4 linked regions of the Astyanax mexicanus genome follow. The protein of the gene in region 2 purifies or fractionates together with the protein of the main gene of each other region. This does not show direct contact. Links are inferred from orthologs where the notes say so. Each region holds a gene or a part of one and is shown on either strand. Other genes may lie near its edges. The genes, in order: sart1, cd2bp2, dhx38 and usp39.

Region 1 (7,982 bases), on a different chromosome or scaffold from region 2:
TACATTACTTTAAAAATAAAGGCTTTGTTCAGACTGTAGGAAATTTGGATTTGTTTCCCAAATCAAATCAGTTGGGATGACTGTTATTTGCAAGTGATCAGATCAGATTTGCATGTCCTGACGCACAGATGTATCGTTTAATAAAAACATTCTAAGAACTTCCAGAAAGCTTGCCAGATATATAAAAAACACAGAGAGTGTAATTGCAGAGGTGTTGCAAACATTTTGCTACAGTGGTTGCTATATGGTTGCTAAGATGTAGCTATATTTCATGCTAGTGTTAAAGTCTGAAAAACATTTGGATAAATGGTGTAATACAAATATATCTAACAGGTAGAGCTGTGTTCACAAGCTTTTGGTCTGATTGGAGTCTGGTGACATTTGGCTAAATGGTGGAATGCAAACCTTGACATGAAAGGGACCTTAAATCAATACTTACTCAAGTTAGTAAAAACTGTCAACTATCAAAATAAATTAGGGTAATTTATAAGCATTCAGATCTGATCCAATTCACACACACTTATTTATAAAGGGTTAATGTAGTAGCAGGTTTTCATTCTACACAACAATTAGCTCACCTAAATCCACTTGTTTTAATTAAGTCTTCAGTCATTCAAAAACTGATTACACATGCTTCTGCTTTACTGAAATGAAACCCTGCATCCATATGGACCTTTTGCAGAAAAGATTGGCCACTCCTGTTTTTCTTCTGAATGTGTAGACCATGCAGCTTGTAATTAGCTAATCACTGAAAGCAATGCATTGCATGAAGATACCTAAAACCTTTGGTCTGTTATCTAGTAATCACTTTTGTTTAATTGTTTTCTGTTGCTTATATTTATTGAGAAATTTAGTTTTAAAAAGTTCTGGAATAATGCCATGTACTAAATAAATAAAATAAATGTTTTTGTAAATGCTCTGTGTCTTGTATAAATTGTTTCTTTTGTTTATGCAAACTAGCACGTTTTTAATAGTAAGATCAACATTTGCTTAGTTGGGGAACATGACATGAAATTAATTTAGTCAGACCATCACATCAGCACAATTGCAATTTGCTTTCCTTGGCGAGTCACCGACCGATGCAACAATCCCAGGAACTTTAACTATTAATGCTAAATGTTGGTACAGGACAATAATGTCTCCCACATATTTTTCAAAGAGTCATCATGGTTATTTACTGTTATTATTATTATTGTAATATGGAGTGATCTGGAAAAAAGAGTTTAGTCTGCTGTTTTGATTGTTTTGCTGTTGTCGTCTATAAAGCAGAACTGGTTGTTTGACCACTGATTGGCCACTGATTGGCCAAGACTTTATCTGTAGAAACTGTCTATTTTTTTTGTATCCCTATGCTGGTTCAAAAGACCTGGACCAAACCATTTGATGGGGACAGGAACACTCATAACAATTTTTCATACACTTGTATATATTTAAATTTAAAATGTAGACAGAACAAAGAAAAAAATAAAACAGAATACACTGAAATTGCAAATTTAAGTATATAATGTTAAATTACTTTGTGCCTCCCTCTAACCTGGACCAACCCATTTGGTCCACAATGGGCATGCTCCAATTTATCCAGGGACTATAAAGTCAGCTGATAACTTGAAAACTCATTTGTTTCTGTAGCTGAAATGCTGGCGCTGGAGTACATATGTATGGAGTAGGTAAATGAAGTGAAAATATTAATTTGACAAACCAACCTTGGGTGGAGAAGAGTAGACTTGCATTTAAGTTAGCCTGTAACTGTGAGAGAGGTTAGCATCTAGCTTTAGCTTAGCAGCTAAAGCACATTCAAATAAATAATACAAACACTGGTTAAACAATTCCTTGTTAAAGCTGAATTATAGTTAAGCTTTTTCTCATGAGTTTAAATACATTCTACAAAGTGTCTTCTTTAAAATGACTTATATTTTTAAAGTACATAAACCTGCTGTTTGATATATTTTACAACTAACTGAACATATTTTGCAGCTAAGACCTTTCAGTGGATGTCTGTTCTTTGGAAAGTGTTTTCAAGGTTTCTTTGTGTTGGGAATCATTTTCAGTTTCAATTGTAACTCACTATCCAGAGGCTGGGTTGGTTTCTTGGGTTGATTTGTGATCCTTAATCCTAACAGCATGACTTTAAACAGTGTATTTTTTTTATCTTTCTTTAAAATTAATTAAATTAAGTTTATGCCTTAAAACAGTAAAATGAATCTTTAGGAAAGTTTTTCTGCCTAATTTTTCCCATGCACTCAGTCAGCTCCACAAGACCCAGAATTATTTCCATTATTGTTTGCTCATGTAGTTTGCTCTCCGGAAGCACCACTGTCGGAATTACTGAGATCCTACCACAACCTACAAAACCTTTAGCCAAACCACACCTTGGCGATTTCATTCACCCAATGAAGATGCCTGCAGCTGTTTGCCTCTAATCTAGTAATCACTTTGGTTTTATGTTAAATGATTGAATGTATTAAAGACAATAAAAACTAAGTTTGATGTGTCTTGTATAACTTTTTCTTATGCTTACTGTTCACTGTTTAAGTTCACTGTTGGGAAAACTGTTTAAGAATTGATTGAACCCTTCTATATATTAAAAAAGAGGTATGTATATACAGGAAATAAGAACCACTGGTCAATGTACTGTTGAATAAGCTGCAAAATGTAAATAAAATGGTGTATAACAGTTATCTTTGGAAGAATAATTTAAGTTGCTATGTGTAGTTAGTGAAAACACACTGAGCAATATAAAGCTCAAACACAAGGCTGTTTGTCCTCCTGCTCTGTAGAGAAAAGTGCAGATTTTGCCACTGCAGTATCAGTCTATTCTACAAGTTAGGGAAGGCAATTTACTGCACTAATTTTTTTTAGTTTTGAGGCCAACTCAAAGAAAAGACACAGTTGTGCCAACTAAAAATCATTAGTTCAGATAATTGATTTTTATATGCATAAAGCTTTAGAAATTAAGTCTCACCAACTTATAAATTCACTTTGTATCCTTTCCTTTAAGATCCTGTTTCACATAAATCAAACTCATATAAAGAGCACAACATAAGTTAGCAACTAAGAATGTATGACTGTTATGTCTTATTATCAGTCATATTAAAATTGCAAAACACAGTGGCTTGCTCTTATAGACTTTAACGCTAAGGCCAGGCAGTTAACTATTATGTAACACATGCGAATCCCAAGAGAAGGCAGCCTGTGAAGAATGACTACTCACCGATAGTGAGTGAGAGGTAAAAGAACACACCCAATATGCAAATAGCTTGACCAGCATCAGATTAAAAACCCCTGCATAATAAATAGTTTAAACCGAGGCTTCTGCTAAGCATCTTTCATTAAATGAGTTGTCTACCACTTTGTTTGATTAAAATGCTGACACTAATTCTGGTTGTCACATTGTGTCCTACATCATATTATCCCATAAGGGCGTTTTAATACCCAGTAGATACATTTCATATTGTTCCCCCAAAAAATAGGCCAGTACATCACAGGTACTAAATGTGAATCTACAAACATTGATCAAGGTTTAAACTCAGATCATTCCCTGTGGTGATTTACCAATGACCCTGGAATTTTTGTATGGGACGTTGGCTCATTATGACTCGAGTAAAAGTGCCTTTCAAAAAAAAACTCTCTAGGAGCATGGACTCTTTATGTACAATATTTTTTCCATTGCTAATGCATTCGTCTCCAACATCAGAATTGATTTATTTGTGCACATCAATTTTACATTGATTTAACGTTAATTCAAAATTATGGTTTTAGATGTATGTTTTTATTAAACTTAAATTAAAGATGTACATTAGACTCAAGAAGTGTATATGTGTTACATACAGAGTGATCCTTTTTAAGTGTTGATTTCTTTTATTGTTAATTTGAAATCGGTGTCTCAGAAAACTAGAATAGTATATTAGACCAATTAGTACTTTTGGCAGTGTGGCAGTGTGCCACTCTGCTGGAAAATGAAATCTGCATCAGGAAAGAATGAAGTGCTATAAGATTTTCTGGGGAAAAAACTGCACTGATTTTTGGACTATATAATACAGTGGACCAACACAAGCAGATGACATGGCTGTCAAAAAAGCAACTTTTCAATTTCAACTTTTCATTTTTAAGATGCACTAGTATTTATAGTTTTTGGATTCTGTTATTGTAGACTGTACTGTGGTCTTTCAGTGTATAAAGTGACATAATACTAATAATTAGTAATATTAAAATTATGATTTGTGGGAATTTGTTAAATGTTAAATAAGGGTTGTTTAAAGATTGTTTTTCTATCATTACTTTAACAGAAGTAATGCAACCAAAATCTTTTTAAAAAATTAACGTTTGGAACCCCAAATCCAGAAGCTCACAATGCTTTTAGATTTATACACCAACCACTGCCTAAGAAAGTCTAGAAGGATCACGAAGGACCCCTCCCACCCATTCTCACAGCTTCTTCCCCCAGGCGACCAGGCTGTGGAACAGTGTTTTGCCCAACTTGCCACTGCCATCTTATACAAACTTTTTGACCCTGAACTTTACTTCACTTTACATCACATTGCATCTTTCTAACTTTCCCATACTTATCCTATTATACAGCATTCTCCACCCTGTACTTCCCAATCAACTCATTCTGTACCTGCACTTTAGTCATAATTACTCTGTCACATACTATCTCTGCACTTTCACATACACACTCAGATATCAGCACATGTATATATCAGTGTATACTTGTATATCCATTCATATTAACGTATATCTACACTGCAAATAAATACTTAGTAAATATTTCAAGTAAATCTTGTTCTTTACATGCTAATAGGAACCTGCACACAAGTTTTTTTTACTCACCTGTATTCTGTGACGTGACAATAAATACTGTATTTTGAATCTTGAATCTTGAATCAGGGATCCTTCAGGGCACAGAGCTGGAATATAGAGCCTCCTCGCCTGCAGGCGGCAGTGAGCGTTAGGTTTGACTCGGAAGAAGTTTGGGACGGTTTATCAGAACGCCTGCAGAACGATTGGATGGTGGCTGGTGTTTATTTGGGCCTCGCTGGTTTAGTGAGCGCTCCTTTTCGCGTGTTTACAGGACTTTAGGTGTTTAAAGAGTGTGATAAATATGTTGTACAGGCGGTAGAGTATAGCTAGCCGCTCTGTTTATGTTCTATTTAGCGTTAATATACACAAACCGTGCTGGGAGGGAGTGTATCTATGTTAGCTAGGTTAGCTTGCTAGCTAGCGTTAGCTATGTTGTTAGCAGGCTAGCTAGCTAAGCGTGTTATTTTTGGTGTCGTTTTAATACTTTCTAACCCAAGTCTAACTAGTACCTGTTAGTTATTTGCGTTGTTTGCTTTAGTGTCGGGTCTTTAAACAGGTTTGTTTACGCATAGGTTAGCTAATTAACACAGTTAGATAACCTAGCTAATTAGGTTATCTAGCTAACTAACTAATACTCTCAGATATGGGCTCATCTAAGAAACACAAGGAGAAGGATAAGGAGCGGGACGCAGAGGACCGACACCGAGAACACAAGAAACACAGACATAAGGACAGAGAACGGGACAAGGAGAGAGATGGAACTCGAGAAAAGGAGGAGAAGAAAAGGAAAAGGTCCCGCTCCAGAGAGAGAAGCAGCCGGGGAGAGAAGGAGAGCCGCAGTAAAGGAGAGAAGAGCAGTGGAGAGACTCGTGTAAAGAAGGAGAAACTTGATCCAGCTTTTGAAGAGGCTGAAGGTGAGCTGGTGACCTGTTTACTGCCACTGACTGTTGGTTAGTGTTAGAAGAATTTAGATTTCTGTCCAATATTGGCCAAAATCCAAAAATCAACAACTTATCAAACAGTAATCAAGAAATTGGCATTACCATTGATTGATTTAAAGTTTCACACACTTTTTAGGACAGGTCAGCACTGCCAGAAGGCTCATCCAGTACATGTTTTTTATGTAGGGGTTGTTCTTGGTAATGTGACATTTAATTAAAAAATACTCAATATACTAGTTCATAAAAATAAATATTTAGTCTTATTAGTCCTAATTGAGATTTTCACCAGATTTGAACAGAAATCAATGATCCAACATGATACTATTAATACTAGTAATGCACCCCATATATCCAGGACTGGAGTAAAAAAAAATGCTGGACAGATACATATAATCTGTCTCTATTAAATATTTAATAGGAAATGAGAACAGTGGGAATTTTCCTTTTGCTACAAACAGCAAAACAATTGCCCCTGATGGCCCTAAAATAAAATCCCAATATTTCTAGTTTTTTTTGTGATTAAAATGTTTTAAAAAGACAGTTGAGCGCAGAGAAGGCAATGGCATTTCTGGACATGGTTAACATAGGATTTTATTTTCTACACTAACGTTTTAGGTGCCATTGTAAATGCAATTCTGCAATGTAGTGTGGTTAAAGTGATTCCTTACCCCTGTGGTTCTGGGCTTTCACTTCTGTCTGTTAGGCCAGGTAATTCTTGATGATTAAAAGACTAACTTTTCATGGATCCTTTGTTGGAAATGAATCGTTACAGTGACTTGTGAGCATCACCAGTTTATATGTTTGTAGTCCAGCATTACTGTTTTGTAAGTTAGTAAGTGTTTTAAACAAAGTTTCATTAAAATGTGATTTTGTTAATACATTAAAATATGTGTAGTGATGCACCCATTTTTTATAGTGCCTGTACCTGATTTAAACTTTTTTTTTTTGTCTGTTCCTTTGCAGATATGGCTCCAAAGTCTGCGGGTGGAGATGCTTCACTCAGCATTGAAGAGACCAAGTATGCTAATAAAGTGCTTTGCAGACTGTCTATCAAGGTTTTGCATCAGAATTGATTTTGGAACTTATCCAACCAATTCTTGTTTTCCCTTTTCAGTAAATTGAGGGCCAAACTTGGTCTGAAGCCTCTTGAGCTAAATGAGAATAAAAAAGGTGAGAAATCGGTGTCTAACAGGACTTATGCTACCAAATATTCTTTCTCTTCTTTTTTTCTCATGTTAAATATTTCTGATTGCAGAACTGGGCACAAAAGAAGAGCCCCTGCTAGCTGAGACTATCAACCCTGTACAGATCAAACAGCAGGCAGAGATTAGGGAGAAACTGGCTGCACTCAAACAGAAGCGTCTGCTTAATCAGAAACTTGGGTACAATCCTCATTATGCTTTTTCATTTATACACCATAGGACTGTACTTCTATAGAGTTTTTGTCTCTTGAAGCCTTGTGTATCATTACTCAAATTGACCTTAATCATTGTCTCCCATTTTAGCAAGGTTAAGACACTTGGAGAGGATGAACCTTGGTTGGATGATACTGCTGCCTGGGTGGAAAGAAGTCGCAAACAGGCTAAGGAAAAGGAGTTGGCAGAAAAGAGAGTAAGTAGTAGACAGGGTTCTACAGCTTCTGCAGAATCGTTTCATTCGTGTCTTCTTTGTTGAGGCAAACGCACAGCAAAAAATGTACTGGTGATATACACGTTGTGGTTTTTATTGTAATATTATGTCTTTGTTTAATATATTTTTGTTTTTATTGTAATGAGCATATGATTTTCATAGGCCAAACTTCTTGAAGAAATGGATGAAGAGTTTGGTGTGAGTAACCTTGTGGAACAGGAGTTCGCTCAGACTAAGAAGGTAGACTTCATACACTTTCCGCAGTGGTTAATCATATATCAAACAGAAACTTTAAATGTTATATAATACATTTTCTGATTACTAAAAGTCTTTTTTTTTTGTAGGACGCTTACAGTTCTAGAGACCTTAAAGGTCTCTCAGTACAGCACAAAATGGAATCCTTTAAAGAGGGGGAGACTGTAATTTTGACACTGCAAGACAAAGGTTTGTGCTCTGTTGGCTTTTCAGCAATGCATCTGCTTTACCTGCACCTGTGGCTTGCTCACTGTATGTTCTTGTTGCAGGTGTTTTGGATGAAAATGAAGATGTGCTGGTGAATGTGGGTCTGGTGGACAAAGAGAAAGCTGAGAAGAATGTGGAGCTTAAGAAAAA
Region 2 (7,348 bases):
ATCAACTGTGGCACTTCTGGAACGTCTTTGTCTGTTCACAACTTGGGGTAGTCAATAGAGCATAAGATTATACACTACATGAACACAAGTATCAAAACACCTCCTAATTTATTGCTTCTTCTATATTTTAAGCATTGCAGTTAAGATATGATTCATATATGCACTTAGAATCAAGAGAATTATTGATCTCCCATTATAAAGTTACTTTTTTATTATTACAGTTAGTAGTAGTAGAGGAAGTAATTAGAATCTGTACAACACCCAACAAGTGTCTGAATAGAATTATGACAGTATGTCCTCAGCTCACTTCCCACACTGACACACCAGTAAACACACGTGAAAAAGAGAACATATTAAGAGAGAGAGTGGACACACCCTGACAGGCACAACACCTACCTTCAACATCATCACTGGCGAGAATATTATATTTGTCGCCATTTTCTGCCTCATCACCCTCGTCTTCCTCATCACTGTCCAGAGAGTGTTTCTCCTTGAACCTGGAGCCTGGACCACTCACCTCATCATACATCTGCACAAAAACAGACAGAGTATCAATTAGATTATATGTACACTTTGTGGCTGTTAAATGTGACTTCTACCCCTACAGACTACTACTGTCCACACACTCAATAAATCAGTCAGATTCTAACCTCTACAACATGAGCAAGACCAAAGAGCTTCCTAAGGATGTCAGGGACAAGATCATAGCCCTGCACATGGCTGGAATGAGCTACAATACCTTAAGTAAGATGATGGGTGAGAACGAGACAGCTATTGGTGCAATAGTCAATCGACATTGTTCGGGGCTCCAAGCAAAATCTCACCTTGTGTGGTATTCAGGAGGATGGTGAAAAATCAGCCTAAAACTACACGGGGGAACTTGTTAATGATTTCAAGGCAGCAGGGATCACAGTCACCAACAATACCATTGGTAAAACATTATGCTGTAATGTTGCAGTGCCCGAAAAGTCCCACTGGTCAAGAAGGCACCTGTGGATGATTCATAGGCCATGGCTGGGTCTTGCAGCCCAACAATGACCCAAAACATACAGCCAAGGCAACAAGGTCATGGAGTGCCCTAGCCAATTCCAAAGAAAACTTATGGAGGGAGCTGAAGCTCCAATTTGCCAAGCAACAGCATCAAAATCTTAATAATTTAGAGATGATCCGCAAAGAGGACGGGACTAAAATTCCTCCTGACATGTGTGCAAACTTCATCAATAACTACAAAAAATGTCTGACTGCTGTGCTTGCCAACAAGTGTTTTGCCACCAAGTATTAAGTCTTGTTTGCCAGAGGGATCAAATACTTATTTCTCTCTGCAAAATGCAAATACATTTGTATAATGTGATTTCTGGATTTTATTTTTTATTTATATTCTATCTTTTACTGTTAAAATTATAGACCGTTCATGTATTTATCAGTGGGCTTACGAACTTACGAAATCAGCAATTGATCAAATAATTATTTCCTTCACTGTATTCACATATACTGTGTATCTGCCTACTAAGCCTACAACATTTAGCCCTGCCTTCTTTTTACACAAGTCTATCCCAACCATTCTTTATCCCATAAATAAATGCATACAGATGGCAAAAGACGATCAGCAACTACAAACAGACCTCAATATACAACTTAAAGAGGGTGATGATTTGCTTAGATGATTCGTCTGATTTACTTGTCGAACTGTTGCCATTTCATACAGGATTGATGGACAAGTATAAACATACCTTCTTCTTTGGAACTTCATCATCCAAACTGAACTCTCCATCTCCATCCTCAAATGTGACTTTTCTTTTTGACATTCTGGAATAAAGTTTAAGAGAGATTTCAAGAGTATGTTATACACATAATACAGTAACATTAGACAAAATACATTAATAATCAATACAAAGATTGCTGTATTCCCAGTTTCTATCCAACCCCTTGTTTATCTAACTAGTCCTTCATTAAAGTAAATCAGATGAGTTGCTGGAGAAACTCCATACAAGTCCATACAGTGTCTGATCACTGACTTTATGTTTCTTAGGTTGACTCTAATACTATATAGATTTAATTACAGGTAGATATTCTAATGAACACTGACTATGTTTATTGAGTTTACTCTAATACTATATATAGAGTTAATTACAGGTCACTGTTCACAGACTTTATGTTTATCTGAGTTTATTCTATTGTTATATAGTTTTATTTACAGGTAGACACTCTCACTGACCACTGACTTTATGTTTATTTGAGTTTTTTTAATGTTATATAATTTTATTTACAGGTAGACACTCACTAAATACTGACTGTTTATTTAGGTATATTCTAATGTTATATATAGATAATTATAGATAGAAACTTATAATGACCACTGCCTTTGTTTATTTGGGTTTATTCTTATGTTATATAGAGTTTTACAGGTAGACACACTCACTGACTTTATGTTTATTTGGGTTTAGTATTCTAATATTATACAGAGTTTTACATGTAGACTCTCTTACTGTTCACTTGCTTTATGTTTATTTGGGTTTATTCTAATGTTTTAATGAGTTTATTACAGAAAGACATTGTCACAATCAACTAACTTTATATGTATTGGGTTTATTAGATATATGGATTATATATCTAGCTGTATTGTTACAGGTAGACACTCTCTCTGTACGCTGTAACAGTTTGCAGTAACGTCATTGTTTTCAGTGCTGATATTAATAAGATCAGTAATGAGAGTGTAGGTAAGTGTGTGAGTGATTAGCAGCCTATGCTAAGCTACAGTCACTGAGTGGCCTGTGTTTGCAGGATTAGAGGATATTTAGACTTTTTAGAAGTCACAATTTAGAAGTTGTGGTCTGCGGACAGTAAACACATTTCAGCAGTGTGCAGGTCCCTCGTTTGTTAAAGCGGAGGGTAAATCTGATGTTTATAGTGGAGAAATCGAGCTGTTTACCTTTATGCTGTGGCTGATTTTCCCTCTGCGCCATTCAACTGCAGGACGGAAACACCGCCTCCTTCAGCTGAGAGCCGTTTATCACAGCGCCGCCTGCTGGAGACACCGCGCAACCACCACTTACACTGTTATACAGCTCTGAAACTTCTGAATCAGTTTCTATGATTTTGCTAGGTATATAGATTTGAGTAAAATGAACATTGTGGTTTAATTTTATAAACCACGGACAACATTTCTCCCAAATTCCAAATGAAAATATTGTCATTTTGAGCATTTTTTCTTCGCAGAAAATCACATTTTTCGTGCATCATGTCATGTTCTTCTTCACCAGTCTTAAACACTGCTTTTGGATAACTTTATGTCACTCCTGGTGCAAAAATTCAAGCAGTTCAGCTTGTTTTGATGGCTTGTGATCATCCATCTTCCTCTTGATTATATTCCAGAGGTTTTCAATTTGGTAAAATCAAAGAAAAACATCATCATTAGGTGGTCTCTTATTTTTTTTCCAGAGCTGTATAGGGTTTAGATTACAGTTTACAGCTTTTTGATGCAGTTCTTCAGAATTAATATTTGCACCACAGTGTGGCCATTTCTCAAAACAGTTTGTACAAACAGTCACACATAATAGATAAGCAGCTAATGATTTAATTTCACTCAGTTCATGACCCAGAGGTAAGTATTTATATCAGTGAGCATGTTAGAGACAGAATGAACATTTCTTTAGTCATTGATTACAAACAAGACAGTCTAAATGATTAGATCTTTCAGTTTACTCTGTAAGGGTTTACTCAATGCTAATGTTTTGGTGTCAGATTGAAAAATTATTTAAAAATTCTGCACTTTTTCCTGTGAATCGTAAATCAGTTTTAGCAGTACAACATACACTACTGTTTAAGAGAGCCTTACTGCAAGAAATTGGACATTTTTTCACCTTTATTATTTTACTGTTTACTCAGTTATTTATTGATAGATCATCTTGTTGTTCCACAGAACAGACAGACAAGACTGTCAGTACATTGTGTTTAATCAGGTTAAATCCTGCTTCATCCATTTGTTTTGAATGTTGAATGTTTTGCTTCATTCCAGTTTCGTTATGTTGCATTCCAGAATTTACAACATGACATGAATTATATTTTAAATTTTATATTTTGGGAAAATCACTAGAATGTGCTTAGTGTCCAAATGCTATTAGCATAGCCGCCATTTAGCTATTTTTCATGTTTTTGCTAATTCTATGCCAAAAACTCAGTCCTTTTACTTTCATTCCTGTTACTTTTTATGTTTTGAGTGACAGGAATGAAAGTAACAGGAGCGAGTTCCAGTAACAGGAATGAGTGCCATTAACAGGAGTGATTTTTTTGTCTATTATATTAAAAATTCAATTATTTACTACAGAATTTGATAGAGAGGAGTTTTTGAAAAGCTCATTCTTATTTCTCATAGGCAAAAACCCTTTAGACACAGAACCCCGAATCTGGGCATACGAGGATTACAGTACAGAATGACACAGGACTGCAGTGGTCTAATGGACTGGAGCTATTTCACAAAGCTGCAGTACACGCCAGCCACCACTGGGCGGAAGCATTTTACCTCAGATCACTTTTAAAATCGCGAAGTCTAGAGGTCAGTTTGTATAAATTATACACGGTGTTATTTGATGTAGAAACAGTAAGTGCTTCTGTAGAAAAGCTATTTATATTTTAACATAATTAAAACGTTATTTTAAGAATAACCACTTATTGAGCCACACATTTAATCAATTATATAATATTCTCCTCCACAGCAGTGCTCTCTCCCACAGACAGTGATGTGAGAAGGCTGAGTGTCATATTCTGAGGTAAATAACACGTTTCTCTACAAATAAAACTGCAATATTCTACAGTGATTATGGTTTATGATATTAAAATACAAATGCCAAATAAGTAATACAAAATTAAAAGACACTTGCAGTTCCAGGGGCAGTCTCAGTCTGGTGTTACTGCATAGATATGCTGCATAGTTACATCTTTTATTTTGAAATAAAAATCACACTAATGGCATTACTAACTGGCATTTTTTTCCTAATATTTCACTGTTTCTTTTAGCTATAATTCTTTTTTTTTTTCATTTAACTCATTATTACTCATATTAAGAGTTTAGGAGGAGTCTCTGTAACTTACTTTATTCTTAATAAAATGTGAAAAATAGAATACAACTAGAATAAATAATATTTAGATAAGGTCTGCAGTTCTTTGGATGTTGTTGTGGGGTCTTTATGTGACCTCTTGCATGAGTTGTCGCTGCACTCTTGCAGTAATTTTGGCTGGCTGGCACTTGTGGAAAGGTTCACCACTGTTCCACGTTTTTGCCATTTGTGGATAACGGTTCCCACTGTGGTTCACTGGAGTCCCAAAACTTTGAAAATGGCTTTATGAACTTTTACAGACTGATAGATCTCAATTACTTTCTCAATTGTTCCTGAATTTATTTGGATCACGGCATGATGTGTAGCTTTTGAGTATATTTTGGTCTACTTCACTTTGTCAGACAGGTTCTATTTAAGTGATTTCTTAATTGAGAATGGTGAGTATGGTGGTAATCAAGCCTGGGTGTGGCTAGAGAAACTACTAACAATATGGAAAAATTTAAAGAAACATTCCTAAAACTAAAAATGCTGACACAAGTTTGCAGCGATGTTACCAGAACATTTAAATAAAAAAAAATGTTCTAAGAACATTCTGAAAACTTGACAGATTGAACGTTCTAAGAACATTAACTATAACCATTTTTTTGAGCTGCGATGGACCATAGACTTATATGCGGTCTGTATGAACACATAACTTTTTCACTTGGGAGTCAAACAAACCTGTTACAGTGGGTATTTTGCGCTCTGAAATTCTCTGATATGACTCTATGGATCTGCCATAAAATGTAAAAACTGTGATTACTGCCAATTTGACAAGCAAAGTCTCTGAGCTCTGTGGGCCACACCCTCACTACTAAGATCTTGTGACAAATTGTATTCAAAGGGGCTTGACTTATATGTCTCAGACTTAAAGGAGAAATCTGGTGTAAAATTGACTAGGGGTGTAATGAAACATGATAACAAGTACAAACTTTTTTGTTGAATATTCCACCTCCATTCTCTCCAGCATTTCGAAATACAGCACTTTTAGGCTTACAATGTTAGCAATAGGGTAACAGTGTTGGCCAGATAAAGAAATCGCTATTTTTGCACCATTAACAAGCTCAAATTAGCTCAAAACTTGATTAATAAAATTCTGATGGCCCTGTTATTTAAAAGTAAGCATTGAGACTTCAAAAAAAGGGCACTGATTGTTTAATAAAAAAAAACACTGTTTGTACACACAGTACAGTGATGTAGTTTTCTGGGCGTTGCCATCTTAAAATGAAGTCATGCAACATGTTGCAAAATTAATTCTGTGGAAATGCATGAATTTTAGCTGTTGCTGGAAATATTTCTATATAATATCCACTGACTTTATTTTGCAGTCTGTTGCAATGTGTTACTTTTGTTACAATTGACTAAAGTTAATGGTCTGATCTGTTACTCCAAATGACCAGAGTTTTATTGTAAATAAAAGAAGTGTTTCCGGAATCCTTGCTCAGCTTGTTTCAGGGTGGTATGTTCTCACTTTGTTTCTGTTTCACCAGGTTTATTGTACTTTCGCTGCACCTCTCCCAGAAACACCATGCTACAAATGCAGACCTGCATTTGCTGGTAGCTGGTTTCAGATGGTCTGAGATGGTGTTTGAAAGCTGTTCCTCCAGGGGAAACATACCCTAAATTAACCAGCTTGTGAGTGGCATAGTGAATGATGCATTCAATTATGGTCATGCTTGGTTCTGCTTGTCATGATGGTTGATCAACTTCAGTCATACTGGTCAAGTTATTGGCCATTAACCAGCTAAACCATCAAACCCAAACAAAAAAATACTCTGTGCTGGTCAAGAACTAAATTGGTCAATCAGCTTGACCAGCTTGAGCTGGCATTTTTGGATTTGTAAAGTCTGGAAATGTCTATAAACGTGGATGGAGATACTGCAGTTGTTCTTCAGATCTCCTCACCCAATACTTCATACCTAATCAACAGACCTCAGCCGCTACTCCCTGTAAATTAGCCAGTATGGACAGACGCAGAGGTACGAAAGATAAGATTGCTTTATTCACAGATTCTCTCTTTTTATTGGTTACAGAAGAGTTGGTGACAGAGCAAAGCGAAGCCCAGGTGAGGACAGCACAAAATACATGGGGAACAGAGGAGTGGAGAGGGGGAGAGAAGACGGAAATGGGTTCTTTCTGTCGCCGCTCTCCATTCCTCTTCAGGGTTTTCATCTTTCTCTCTTTCTCCCTCAGTGAAAAGTCTGCCATCACTTTTAGGAGGCGGAGCTTTCTCATGGTGCCATTCCTTTTCTTAT
Region 3 (7,017 bases), on a different chromosome or scaffold from region 2:
GACCAAGGCCTGGTAAAGGGGATAAAAAGGTTTGTGTGGAATTGTGTTATACTATTAGATTAACTTCATCAAATAACAACAATAATATTATCACAATTATTTCTGGGACAATATATTGTCTAAACAAAAATAGGTATCATAAAATCATATAAGAAAAATATAGTAGGGCCAGAGTCAAATCAAATCAAGTTTACTTTCATATCTTCTAAGTAAGGATGTAAAGGTGAGTGAAAAGCTTTGGGGCATGACCGCACTTGGTACACAGAAAGAACACAAAGTACCAGTCTATTTAGCACTCATTTAATGTTTTTTTAATTATTTTATTATTAATATTTTCTACATTGTAGATTAATGATGAATACATCAAAACTATAAAGGAATGCATATGCAATTAGGCCCGTCACAATAATTACTCAATCGACTTATCGTTCAATAAATGGACGTGACCTCAATCATTTTAATAATCGTGATATCGTCCATTGTGTTTGCACTTACATATATTGTGACTGTGAGTGTGACCTGGTAATGCGGAAGCACAGAGAGACACAGACACAGGGAGTGAATGAACTCAAATTGTACCTTTATTAGGAAAAATGTCCTCCATCAACACCCAAAACAAACTTAATGAAACATAGAAACACCCAGTACGGCTCTAGTCGCTTAACTTTAGTGTCTCTTTATGTTGGTCCAACGTGGGCCAGCTGGGGCAGACCGGGGCTGCACGTCAACCCACAGCTCCCCTGCCTCCACATTTCACAATGTGTATATGTATATATATGTTGAAGAACCTACTATAAGCTACTTTGGTTCAGGCTGGGAACTTTTCGGGTTCCAAAATTAGGCGTGTGAACAGGAATGGAAAGTTTAACGTCTTTAAAAGGGTGCAATTCTTTTATGATATTATGTTATCATTACTATCGTTTTTCACAATCATTTCTGACAACATAATGTTCACAAAAAAAGTTATTGTGCCAGGCCTATATGCGATTATGAAAAACTTGAAGAACTTAAACAAGCCTAAATATGTTTTATACTTTAGGTGATTCAAAGTAGCACTGTTTGCTTTGATGCCAACTTAGTCCCTCTTCACTTCATGATTTTTGATTTATTCATAATCATCCATGCTGCTATAGGGAGTCAGAATTCAGCACAACCTGTAAAGATAACTCACCGTATTAACAACATTCACATGAAGATTTGTGCTAACTCTGGTCTAGACTTCCCGGTGTGAAAAAGGACTTGAAATAGTGAGAAGAAGAAAAAAAAAAAAAAAGAGGTGAAGGAGGTGTGTGGGACGGAGGGGTGTTACTAACCTTATTTAAAAAGCTGGTGTGAAGAACCCATTGGTCTCTTGCATAATATCTCAGTGCCTGTCTGAGAAACACAAAGCAAAGTCAGAACTTCATTAAAATATGACCAAATTAATGAACAAATAAAAGCTGTGTTCTAATATTCTGACATGAGTGCATCATTACTAACAGGTTTACTACAAATTCAATTTATACTAATCTTAATGCTGAAAAGTAGAACACCAATGACCCAGCCTTTTTCTGTGGACATAAATATATACTGTTTTAATATATATTCAATGTAATATATATTTTATTTATATATTTAAATATATAACTCGAAATAAAACATTTTTTTCCCTTTTTTAACCCTAGTATGTTAATTTGTTTGCTCTTGCACATTAAAATCCTGTCCTTTTAACTACTTAAATATACATAAATACATTTGAAAACATAACTTAAAAATGTAAAGGATTCAGCCACAGCTGTTTTAAATCAGGTGTGTTTAAAATGAGGTAACTAGCTACTGCAACATAATGAATCTTAATATGTATAATATATATTTTTAGTATACAATGTTTTATACACTCTTTTTATACAAAATAATAAGTCTAATAAAAGTTAAAAATGAAACAAAACTAGAGTAATGCATCAACAAAAGATGAGGTAACTAGCTAACCTAGCTAGTTAATCCATAATATTTTAACGGCAATTAAAGCATACTAAAACTATTTCTTTAACTAAAAAAGGCTGTTTTAAATCAGATGTGTTTGGAAAGGTAACTAACTAGCTAACCTAGCTGGCCAGGTTATATTATTTAACTGGAATTCTCTCAAACAAATTATTTTATTCAAGTGTACACTACTGCAAAAAAATAAATACTAATATAAAATATACTTTTAGTAATGTTTTATACAGACAGTAGAAATAAATCCCAACATTTGTAAATGTTTGTCTTTTAATTAAACAGTAAATTAGTGGTTCCAAGGTCTTTATTATTTATTTGGAGATAAAACGTTTTTCACTATAAAAAGCCAAAACAGTTTTAAATCAGGTCTGTTTGAAATGAGGTAACGAGCTAACCAACCTAGCTAGTTAGGTTATATTAATTTAATTTGAATTATCTTATACTAACTTATAATATCCTCCTTTTTCCGTGTTAATTTACTGGTTAAATACACAAATAAAATGTATCTAGTCTAGTTAGCTAACCTAAATAGCTAGGTTAGGTTAAACTAATTTAACGAGAATGTTTGCTACCGTTAGCTAACAGAACCATGAGCCAAAAGCCACAAAACACTGTAATATTACAGCTATTTTCCTACATTTAAACCCCATTATCTGCTAACTCGGATACGCTGTAATAGACTAGAATAATTAGAGAATAATTAATTGAGCGAATCTCAGTCTGTAATCAGGTAACTTTACTGAACTCAGTAACGTTACAGCTGAGTGAGCGGAGCAGCTAACGCTAACAAACACAGAACAAACACACACACAGCGGCTAAAACCGCGGATTAAACCCCGAAGAAAGCCCTTATCCGCCCACCTCTCACACTAATACACTCCGGGATATACAGCAGGTCTCAGCGCGGCGGGTAAAATCAGAAATAAGACACTAAATGAAGATATTTACCCTAAAAACACCAAGCTAACCGCGTCCAACCTGCGTACAGCGGACCGCCATCGCTATCCCATAATACAAGAAGCGGAAAACACGACACTTCACAATAAGAGTCTCGAGAGCAGTTCAAAAAAATGAATGGGTCTCTATAGAGCTGAGCAAAATCTGAGTTTAATAATATAAATATTTAATTATTTAATAACTAACTGATAAATGTATCACAACATCTATGTATCTAGTTACATGAATTAATGGGCTCTTATTAAGCATTCGAACAAAATCATGTTTTTTATATATACATGTTTAATCATTTTTATACTGAAAAATGTATCTACTTATCTACATATCTATTTATCTTTAAAAAAATGAATGGATTCTTTTGGAGCGACCGAGCAATTCCAGAGTTTATAAATATAAATCTTTAATAATTTAATAATTATCTGATAAATATATACACATATATACATAAAATGAATGGCTTCCTTTGGAGCAACTGAACAAAATCAGTGTATGAATTGAAATGTTTAATAATTTAATAGTTAACTAATAAATGTATTTACATATCTATTTATCTACATAAAATGAATGGGCTGCTGGGAAACAATTGAGCACAAAGTTTTATCAAAGGTTTATAAATGTTTAATCATTATAACATGTACTTTAACATATTAACATGTATATTTAAAATGTTTCAACTTATCTACATATATATATATATATATATATATATATATATATATACATATATATATACATATATATATATATATATATATATATATATGTATATATATATATATACATATATATATATATATATATATATATATATGTATATATATATATATATATATATATATATATATATATATATATATATATATATATATATATTAACTACATAATATTACATTGTTCTCATAAAAAATGAGAAAATTAAAGTTTATAAAAAGTTTAATAATTTTAAATGTGAAAAATGTGTAAATTCATCTAATTATCTACATACATTAATGGGCTTTTATGAAGCATTCAGGGAAACTCAGATTATTCAATTAAATCAGTTTATACACATTTAACAATTTTCATATCAAAAATGTATCTACTTATCTAGATGAAATTAATGGCTTCCTACGGAGCAACTGATCTAAACCAGAGTGTGTAAAATTACATTTTTAATAATTAAATAATTAACTGATAAATGTATTTACATATCTATTTATCTAGATAAAATGAGTTGGTTCAATAAAACAAAACCATAGTTTAAGAAATACAAATGTTTAATAATTTAATAATCAACTGATAAATGTATCTATTTTTTTACATAAATTATGGATTCTTATAAAGCACTTGAGCAAAATCAGAGTTTATACATGTTTAATAATTTTCATACTAAAAATTGTATCTACATATCTCCATATCTATTTATCTACATGAAATTAATTGGTTCCTATAGAGCATTCAGCAGAGTTTATAAATATATGTTTAATAATTTAATAATGAACTATATGAAATATATCTACATGAAATATGAAATATATCTACATATTTATTTATCTAATCATTTATAAATGTTCAACAATTTTCATAATGGAAATTGTATCTATGTATCTATTTATCTACATAAAAAATGAGCAAGTTCCTATTAAGAAACAAAAATAAATAGATCTTTCCATTTTAACACTGTAGAGGGCACTTTAGAACATTTTGATCACAATATTATTTAATTAAATATATCAGGCATATAATTTCATGTCTGTGAAGGCTTCATCAATAATGTATCCAAAATTTAGACCAAACACACAGAGTCAGAGTTCATTTTCTTCCGCTGTATTTTAAAGAAACGTACAGCTTCTCTCAAATCAAGACAATTTAAAATATATCGGACAGCCAGGAAGATGTACACAATGTTCACACAGAGCAAAGCAGTGCTGTGGTGGAACTGCACACAGGAGCAATCACGTATTTACACTTTAAAATGAGGCGGAATGATTTATGAATGATTTATTATTAAATACTCAGCTGATGATCAGAGACTACAATCTGAGAGGAGATCACAAAGTACCAGAATCTTAATTTGCTCTTATCACACTCATTATTACACTGTGCTCAAAACCTACAGCCAATAATATATTATACACTCATTCACCAAAAAATAATACAGACCTGCAAAACAGACTCAGGCTACTTTGTATATATATATATATATATATATATATATATATATATATATATATATATACCACTTAAAAATGATGAGTTTCTTTGATTTTACCAAATTGAAAAATCTCTGGAATATAATCAAGAGGAAGATGGATGATCACAAGCCATCATACCAAACTGAACTGCTTGAATTTTTGCACCAGGCGTAAAGGCATAAAGTTATCTAAAAGCAGTGTGTAAGACTGGTGGAGGAGAACATGATGCCACGATGCATGAAAACACAGTTCCACCTAATATTGATTTCTGAACTCTTAAAACTTTGCATTATTTGAGGTCTGAAAGCTCTGCCTCATTTTTTTTTATTAGAGCCATTTCTGATTTTCTGCAATAAGTGCTGTAAATGACAATATTTTTATTTGGAATTTGGGAGAAATGTTGTCTGTAGTTTATAGCATAAAACGACAATGTTCATTTTACTCAAACATAAACCTATAAATAGCAAAATCAGAGAAATTGATTCAGAAACTGAAGTGGTTTCTTTTTTTTTCAGAGCTCTATATAAAAAGGCTCTCATTTGCACTATACTCTTTTGGGTAGTGTACCTCCAGGTGAGAGATCAGACAGCTAGACACACCTCTACAATGTACTTATAGACATTTTGCACATTTGACAGACTGTAGGAGGGTATGCACCATTGGACTGAAAGAACCAGCATGCACACCATCCAGACTGTTCATCAGCATGTCACTGCTCACCAGTAGTAGTGATAAGAAGCACAATAACAGCTCATTAAAATATGCAGGGCTTTTTTTAGCAGGATAATGCTTGTTCCCACAAACTTTGGCCTGTCTGGACGCAAAATTTATTACCAATAAGGAATTTATTGGATCAGCTGGGATGCCAGGATGGACTATGAAACTGTTGAAACACCAGTCATTTTAGTGTGGGAGGTTTCATGACTAAATTGGAGCAGCCTGGTGGCCAATCTTCATTAATTGCACATTGCAGCAGTAAGAGCAATAAGAGTGTGAAGGTTCAATTAGCAGGGTAAGAGCACAGTTCTGCTCAATATATTGGAATGCACACAACATTATGGGAGACATACCAGAGTTCAAAAGAGGACAAATTGTTGGTGCACGTCTTGCTGCCGCATCTGTGACCAAGACAGCAAGACTTTGTGATGCATCAAGAGCCACGGTATCCAGGGTAATGTCAGCATACCACCAAGAAGGATCAACCACATCCAACAGGATTAACTGTGGACGCTGTAAGAGGAAGCTGTCTGAAAGGGATGTTCGGGTGCTAACCCAGATTGTATCCAAAAAACAGAAAACCACGGCTGATCAAATCACGGAAGGATCCAATGTGCACCTCAACTCTCCTGTTTCCACCAGAACTGTCCGTCACCACAATCAATTATTGTGGTCTAAAACCAGGTGTAAAATTGTAATCACTTATATACTGTATTCTTGGTGCATTATTATAATATTTTTGGTTAATGAGTGTATACAGGGTGCAATTACATGAAATCAGAGCATATTTAACAAAACATTCAACCACCCGATTGTGTAAAAAGCACTGAAAGTAAGAAAAAAAAAAGCTGCATGGGCTGAAAAGAAAAAAAGAATACAGTGAATATGCATATGAAAAGACATATAATCATTAAGAGACAAAACAAAGAACAGATCTGCATACATATAGAACAATGTCACTACTGCAGGGGAAGGCAGCTCACGGACCAAACTCTTCTGAGGCATCGAACACGTGAAACAGCACACGCTACAACTGTCGGCGGCAACGACGAGATGAAGAAAAAAAAAACGTACTGTAGAATGCATAGAATAATCTGCGTATGAAATATATATACGTATATATGAAATATAGACTTTGTGGACTGCTCACCAGTTCAAGTATTAAACACACAAAACCACAAATCAGCTTCTC
Region 4 (7,811 bases), on a different chromosome or scaffold from region 2:
GTCTAGTGAAACTGTCTGAAACTGTGAGTGTCTGTCAGTTTGATACAAAGGAAAATGTGCACTGACCTAACGTTCCATGGCGTGCCTACCAGAGGCAGATTTTATGTGCAAAACATAACTTATTGCATAAACATATCTATGTGCAATAGTAATATGACAAAAGTTGAATGAATTTTCTTCTGATGAAATAGAATGTATTTATGTATTTCGTAACATTGCAATAGATATTTCAGACAATCAATATACTGCAATGCAAGCAAAAAAGGCTCAAATCTAAATGTTTTCAGTGTAAACAAACAAGTCCTTCCTGTCCTTCATTTGTCAATGCTTCCAGAGGACACTGTACTCAAATCACATCTAGCAAAGTAACTGATCATTACTGGGCCAAGACATGTGGTATCTTCTACAGTACATTACAGTAGTGTTTGATAGTAAAAACTACCTGAACATTTGACCTTCATTATAATAAATAAACATTTATGTTAATGAACGATCGGCACCCTTCATCTCAGATGTGCTAACAAGACTGAATATTGGAAGGTAATACCTGTAGAACTACGTTGGCGTAGTCATTAGCCTTGATGTTGTTGAGTCCCACAATGCCAGGCAGGTAAGTTGTGCCATCGTAAGCCCTGTACAGTTTGCCCTGCTTGTCCAAACTGGAGATGTGCTGTTTGGTAAACGTTGGCTTCAGAACATACTGAAGACAGAAACACTTCATTAATATTCTGATAGAAATATACAGAAATAAACTAAACAAAAATAACAATTACTGAGAAAATTATGCCAAAAAAGCCACAGTACAGGTATGCGATACACGCCCTCTACGCTAACATGGTCATTAAGCATAATTCCATCTTTAAGCTTACATTTCTTACAATTGACAAAATCAGTAATTATTTTTCTTTATTTAATATTTTAAAGCTGTCTTCAAAAGAGGAGTCACATGAACTAGAATTTTAGTTAATGGGACTCCTCTTTTGAAGACAGCTTTAAAAAATTAAATAAAGAAAAATAATTTACTACTTTTTTGCAACCTTGCAACAGATTAATGTATCGAACTATATATGTATATCTCGGATTTCCAGATTGTTAATGGTTAATATATGTAGGTTTTTTTTTTTAAAGAAGTAATTAGGTGGTAAGGCTTGCTAGAGTGTGTCAGTGTGATATCAAAAAGAGAAATAATCAATTTGACTCTTTCACATGAAGGTGTGTCACACAGCAAAATTATCACAGATTTCCTTCAGCTTCCTTTTATTTCTGTCTATAAATAAAGGTTAGTCTACAGATACAGGAATCACCAGCATAAACTCTTGTGCCCATACTGCTGTATGACGCACCCACACGTGAAGGGGAGTCAGATTTCAGGTGTTTTTTTCCTTCTTCTGTTGCTGCCTGAACCAGATTCAGGTTTATGTTTAGTTGATCCAAACCTCTTTTTGTCAAAGCAAATACTGGTCTGTTGGAGTAGGCTTTGAAGCATCTGCTATTTTGCTTCTGTCCAAACTGAATAGTCCAATGTTCAGAACCAAACAAGGTAGATGTGAAAGCACCCTTAATCTCAACTCACTGTGATGTCCTCCAGCGATGAATCAATGATCTCGTAATTGTCTGGTAGACAGTAGAACTTCAGTGTATGCAGATTTAGAAAGACATGATGTGTGAACTGAACACTGTGGGTGTATGCATGGGACTTCAGGCCCCTCCCTATAACACACACACACACACACACACACACACACACACACTATTTTACATCTAATGATCCGAGTTTTGGACCACTGCAAGTGGCTTTAATTGACACTTGCGTTAAAGAGTTAGATGCTGCTGTTTTGACCACTGTGCCTTGTAGGCTTTTCTATAAACCAGCAGCCAAACCATCCACCTCAGACATGGCAAGATGAAGAATTAAAACTGAAATGGGCCAAACACTCATTTCACACTAAATTTACAAAGATTAACAACAAAACGTTCTGTATTTTACGCTCCATAACAAAAACTTCATTGTCTCAAAAAAAAAATGACTTACCTTGGAAATACTTTCCACAGATCAGACAGGCATAAACATTTATGTGAGAGAGAGAGATTGAGCACAGCTTTTCGAAGTCAAAATCCAAAACGCTCCTAAATAATAAAGAAAAACGAAATTGCTTAGAACCGTACCCTCCTTTTACTTCATATAGAAATTAACACAATTTATGCCAATTAATACATCCTCTATCCCAACCTGTTGATTGTGTCAAGGTATGGACAGTGGCGGCTCCTTCTGTCTGGAACTTTCCCCCGGACCTCTGAAAATCAGGCATTGATAAAATTCTTATGAAAAAAAATTACTCCCACAAACACCACCACCCCACCACAATGTCCACCACCACCCCCACCATGTCCCCAGCAAAGCTTCAGATATTCAGATGTTTTACACACATATGCTGGTGAAAGGCTAGTTAGTTAGTTGACTAACGCTAGCTAACCTAGGTTACATGCTTTAGTTTAGGATCAGTAGAAAAGTAACAGCCACTTGTTTACATGCTTTGGTGACCAACTAGTTAGCTAGCTAATTAGCTATGTTAGCTAGAGAACTAGCTTTATAGCTAAATGAAGATGTTGGTGGATTATCTGTAATTCTGGATTTAACAGTAAAAGGAAAATCCTGTAATATCAGTCTCACTGATGTTGGTTTTAATAAAAAAACTGAATTAGATTAAAGCCGCTCAGAAGGTGTGCAGGAGGCGCGTGCACTGCTGGTTAGCCTGCCGGTTAGCGGTTAGCTCAGCTAGGCGGTGTGTTCTGCTGCTACTGTTTGTAAAGTAAAGCGGTTCTGCCTTTAGAGGTTCCTCTACTTTACCTTCCTCCTCCTCATCCTCAGCATCCCGCTCCCGCTTCACTCCAGCCATAGCGCTGTTTAATTAAGCCCGCGGAGTTTAAATCCTATGAGGGGTCAGAGCACGGACTGCTCAAACTAAACACAAACTCCCAGCAGCCCCCGCGCGCCCCGCCGGAACTACTCTCACACCCCACCGGAAACAACCCACCGATCAGCACTGTAAAAATAATCCTGATTCTGATACAGTTAAAACTGATTTATTTAAAAAGTGGGCAGCAAAATCCAATATATACAAATACGTATCTTTTACCGCACAGCCTTTTATTCAAAAATAACATAACTTTTCTCCCATGTGAATACTATAAATATTTTCTTAAAAGCAATATTGTCATATAGTACCAATTGGTTTTATGTAATATTAAATTTTATGAAACACTGATTTTGGGTGTTTCATTGGCAGTAAGCCATAATCATCAACAATAAAAAAAATAATAATAAACACTTATGGATGTGTAATACATCTATATAATATATGAGTTTCACATTTTAAACTGAACCATTGGATTGCATTCCAATGTTCATTTTAAATGTTAAAACCATCACCCACATACTTTTTTGCATCCTTTATGCACCCCTTAACTTATTCTTTGTAATGTTCAAACGCTTGTGTTTCTCTTGACCTGTTGCTCACACTGTGCTGCTGTTATGTTGTTGCTGTTCTACTGTTCTAAAAATGATAAATTAGTCTTTTGAGGTAATTCTTTCCACAAGTCCTAAAGTGTCTATTTATATGATTCGAGATCTGGAAGGTTCATTCACATTGTTTTCAGATTAGGCGAGATAAAAAATGAACGCAGAGGGTAAGACGCCTCCTTCACTGTTATTATTTAGTAAATGAGTTTTGTTATCAGCCTTATAGCAGAAAAAGACTAAGACTAATGCGCACCACCTGCGCAATCTAGCCCTCAGGTTACTATACTATAGTGTTTGTTTAATATAACATTGTTTTAATAATTTATATATAATGAATAATTCATATATATATATATATATATATATATATATATATATATATATATATATATATATATATATATATATATATATAGATATATATATATAGATATAGTTAGAGGGCGCTGAGTATGCGGGGGGGGGGGGGGGGGCTGTTGAACAGTAGGCGGCAGCAGCGCTGAACAGAGCTCAGTCCGCCTCAGCGCTACAGGAAGAAGAGGATGCAGGCAGTGAGAGGTCTGTGTGTGGGGGGAATGCGCGCGTGTTCTCCGCTTAATCTTTAAATTATGGAGGTTCTGCAGGATGCTGAGGGGGAAGCTCTCAAATATAAACCCGGGGGCCGCTTAGACATGAGCCACGGGTTCCTGCATCACATCCGGAGGAATCAGATCGCGAGGTAAGAGTCGGAGCTGCCAGGCTAACAGTCCGCTAGCGCAGCGCAGCGAGCCGCCGCTACTGATCCTTACGGTGGCCGAGAAAGCCCAACGCAGTGCAACTTGAAAAGCGCTGCAAAAGCACAAAACACATCCATCAAAATTACAACACAGGCGCAGCAACTAGAAACACGCGCTGCAACTAGAAAAACGCGCTGCAAATAGAACCACAACACAACGGAAGTGAGTCACAACACAACGGAATTTTCCCGGGGGACCTTAAAAGATACTGTACCAGCTAAGCTGCGTCTTCAGTAACGTCTCGGACTTCACTATGTGTACAAAGGACAATAAGTGGCAAACAAGGCGTTTTGTGAAGCAGAACTTTTAATAATATGCACACAACCGTGGTAATCACAGGTAATAAACATAACTTACTTTTCAGAAGCTTGTTTGCCACTTACTGTCCTTTGTATACAGCTGGTACAGCATCTTTTAAGGTCTCCCGGGAAAATTCCGTTGTGTTGTGACTCACTTCCGTTGTGTTGTGGTTCTATTTGCAGCGCGTTTTTCTATTTGCTGCGCCTGTGTTGTAATTTTGATTGATGTGTTTTGTGCTTTTGCAGCGCTTTTCAATTTGCACTGCGCTGGGCTTTCTCGGCCACCGTAGGATCCTGTACTGAGAGCTTTAAACAGCTGCTGATACTAACACTGCCTCACCCCAACACTGCCTCACCCCAACACTGCCTCACCCTACACTGCCTCACCCTACACTGCCTCACCCAACACTGCCTCACCCTACACTGCCTCACCCTACACTGCCTCACCCTAACAATGACTCACCCTACACTGCCTCACCCTACACTGCCTCACCCTACACTGCCTCACCCTACACTGCCTCACCCCAACACTGCCTCACCCCAACACTGCCTCACCCCAACACTGCCTCACCCCAACACTGCCTCACCCAACACTGCCTCACCCAACACTGCCTCACCCTACACTGCCTCACCCTACACTGCCTCACCCAAACACTGCCTCACCCCAACACTGCCTCACCCTACACTGCCTCACCCCAACACTGCCTCACCCTACACTGCCTCACCCTACACTGCCTCACCCTACACTGCCTCACCCCAACACTGCCTCACCCTAACAATGACTCACCCAACGCTGCCTCACCCAACGCTGCCTCACCCAACGCTGCCTCACCCTACACTGCCTCACCCAACACTGCCTCACCCTAACAATGACTCACCCAACGCTGCCTCACCCAACGCTGCCTCACCCAACGCTGCCTCACCCTAACAATGCCTCACCCTAACAATGCCTCACCCTAACACTGCCTCACCCTAACACTGCCTCACCCTAACACTGCCTCACCCTAACACTGCCTCACCCTAACACTGCCTCACCCTAACAATGACTCACCCTACACTGCCTCACCCTACACTGCCTCACCCTACACTGCCTCACCCAACACTGCCTCACCCAACACTGCCTCACCCAACACTGCTTCACCCAACACTGCTTCACCCAACACTGCTTCACCCTTCACTGCTTCACCCTTCACTGCCTCACCCCAACACTGCCTCACACTAACAATGACTCACTAACACTGCCTCACCCTAACAATGACTCACCCAACAATTGCCTCACCCCAACAATTGCCTCACCCCAACAATTGCCTCACCCCAACAATTGCCTCACCCCAACAATTGCCTCACCCCAACAATTGCCTCACCCTACACTGCCTCACCCTACACTGCCTCACCCTACACTGCCTCACCCTACACTGCCTCACCCTAACACTGCCTCACCCTAACACTGCCTCACCCTAACACTGCCTCACCCTAAGACTGCCTCACCCTAAGACTGCCTCACTGTAACACTGACTCACTAACACTGACTCACTAACACTGACTCACTAACACTGCCTCACCTCAACACTGCCTCACTTACAGGTTGTAATGTTTGTGTGTTTTTAAAGGGATGATTATGATAAGGAGGTGAAACAGGCTAAAGAGCAACAGAAGCGCAGACACACCACCGCCCCGCGTCGCCCCCGGAGACCCGACCGAGAGGTCTACCACCCCCGCCTCCGGAGTAAGAGCTCAACCCCTAAGCGTTTACTGATGCATCATTTCTCTCTTTTTATTTTGGTTCAGATACATTGTTAGGAGCGTGTGCGGTTTGTCATGAAAATTCCGGTATCTGATAATTATTTATTATCAGATTTATTATTAAGTGTGTCTTATAAAACTGGAAACTGGATTTATCTGAAACAGAAAAAGAGGTTATTAAACAGAACTGTGAACACTGCTTCTTAATTAGAGTATTTACTTTTATTTGTTTTATTTGTTTATGTTTGCATATATTAAAAATATATATAATATTGATATATAATAGTATGCACTTAATATTCTGCACGTTCATTTTGCTGCAGATTTTTATTTTTGTTATACACTGCTCAAAAAAATAAAGGGAACACTCAAACACAATATAACTCCAAGTAAATCAAACTTCTGTGAAATTAAACTGTCCACTTAGGAAGCAACACTGATTGACAATCAATTTCACCTGCTGTTGTGCAAATGGAATAGACAACAGGTGGAAATTATTGGCAATTAGCAAGACATACTCAATAAAGGAGTGGTTCTGCAGGTGGGGACCACAGACCACTTCTCAGAACCTATGCTGTCTGGCTGATGTTTTGGTCAGTTTTGAATGTTGGTGGTGCTTTCACACTCGTGGTAGCATGAGACGGACTCTACAACCCACACAAGTGGCTCAGGTAGTGCAGCTCATCCAGGATGGCACATCAATGCGAGCTGTGGCAAGAAGGTTTGCTGTTTCTGTCAGCGTAGTGTCCAGAGGCTGGAGGCGCTACCAGGGGACAGGCCAGTACACCAGGAGACGTGGAGGAGGCCGTAGGAGGGCAACAACCCAGCAGCAGGACCGCTACCTCCGCCTTTGTGCAAGAAGGAACAGGAGGAGCACTGCCAGAGCCCTGCAAAATGACCTCCAGCAGGCCACAAATGTGCATGTGTCTGCACAAACGGTTAGAAACCGACTCCATGAGGATGGTATGAGGGCCCGACATCCACAGATGGGGGTTGTGCTCACAGCCCAACACAGGACGCTTGGCATTTGCCAGAGAACACCAGGATTGGCAAATTCGCCACTGGCGCCTTGTGCTCTTCACAGATGAAAGCAGGTTCACACTGAGCACATGACAGACGTGACAGAGTCTGGAGACGCCATGGAGAGCGGTCTGCTGCCTGCAACATCCTTCAGCATGACCGGTTTGGCAGTGGGTCAGTAATGGTGTGGGGTGGCATTTCTTTGGAGGGCCGCACAGCCCTCCATGTGCTCACCAGAGGTAGCCTGACTGCCATTAGGTACCGAGATGAGATCCTCAGACCCCCTGTGAGACCGTATGCTGGTGCGGTTGGCCCTGGGTTCCTCCTAATGCAGGACAATGCTAGACCTCATGTGGCTGGAGTGTGTCAGCAGTTCCTGCAAGATGAAGGCATTGAAGCTATGGACTGGCCCGCCCGTTCCCCAGACCTGAATCCGATTGAGCACATCTGGGA

The links.
Region 1: the proteins of cd2bp2 (region 2) and sart1 purify together in Homo sapiens (affinity purification with mass spectrometry; 4 studies listed by BioGRID and IntAct, with this or other methods). This does not show direct contact. The link is inferred for Astyanax mexicanus from reciprocal best matches to the Homo sapiens genes CD2BP2 and SART1.
Region 3: the proteins of cd2bp2 (region 2) and dhx38 purify together in Homo sapiens (affinity purification with mass spectrometry; 3 studies listed by BioGRID and IntAct, counting the BioPlex papers as one, with this or other methods). This does not show direct contact. The link is inferred for Astyanax mexicanus from reciprocal best matches to the Homo sapiens genes CD2BP2 and DHX38.
Region 4: the proteins of cd2bp2 (region 2) and usp39 purify together in Homo sapiens (affinity purification with mass spectrometry; 5 studies listed by BioGRID and IntAct, with this or other methods). This does not show direct contact. The link is inferred for Astyanax mexicanus from reciprocal best matches to the Homo sapiens genes CD2BP2 and USP39.

The regions. Positions count from the first base shown.
Region 1 is NC_064424.1:16,324,916-16,332,897, forward strand, and holds the start of sart1 (U4/U6.U5 tri-snRNP-associated protein 1), read left to right. Parts: upstream 1-4,965; 5' UTR 4,966-5,443; coding exon 5,444-5,714; intron 5,715-6,704; coding exon 6,705-6,759; intron 6,760-6,855; coding exon 6,856-6,911; intron 6,912-6,996; coding exon 6,997-7,123; intron 7,124-7,246; coding exon 7,247-7,352; intron 7,353-7,532; coding exon 7,533-7,610; intron 7,611-7,714; coding exon 7,715-7,814; intron 7,815-7,894; coding exon 7,895-7,982. UniProt on the Homo sapiens protein: Plays a role in mRNA splicing as a component of the U4/U6-U5 tri-snRNP, one of the building blocks of the spliceosome. May also bind to DNA.
Region 2 is NC_064426.1:15,181,070-15,188,417, reverse strand, and holds the start of cd2bp2 (CD2 antigen cytoplasmic tail-binding protein 2), read right to left. Parts: upstream 3,012-7,348; 5' UTR 2,930-3,011; intron 1,807-2,929; 5' UTR 1,806-1,806; coding exon 1,731-1,805; intron 530-1,730; coding exon 397-529; intron 1-396. UniProt on the Homo sapiens protein: Involved in pre-mRNA splicing as component of the U5 snRNP complex that is involved in spliceosome assembly.
Region 3 is NC_064423.1:36,778,254-36,785,270, reverse strand, and holds the start of dhx38 (pre-mRNA-splicing factor ATP-dependent RNA helicase PRP16), read right to left. Parts: upstream 3,007-7,017; 5' UTR 2,926-3,006; exon of another isoform or gene 2,839-2,925; intron 1,375-2,838; 5' UTR 1,314-1,374; intron 1-1,313. UniProt on the Homo sapiens protein: Probable ATP-binding RNA helicase. Involved in pre-mRNA splicing as component of the spliceosome.
Region 4 is NC_064429.1:1,324,896-1,332,706, reverse strand, and holds the start of usp39 (U4/U6.U5 tri-snRNP-associated protein 2), read right to left. Parts: upstream 3,008-7,811; 5' UTR 2,898-3,007; coding exon 2,849-2,897; intron 2,295-2,848; coding exon 2,231-2,294; intron 2,128-2,230; coding exon 2,033-2,127; intron 1,711-2,032; coding exon 1,574-1,710; intron 701-1,573; coding exon 548-700; intron 1-547. Other genes in the region: c22h2orf68 (UPF0561 protein C2orf68 homolog), read left to right, coding at 4,129-4,238, 6,206-6,321.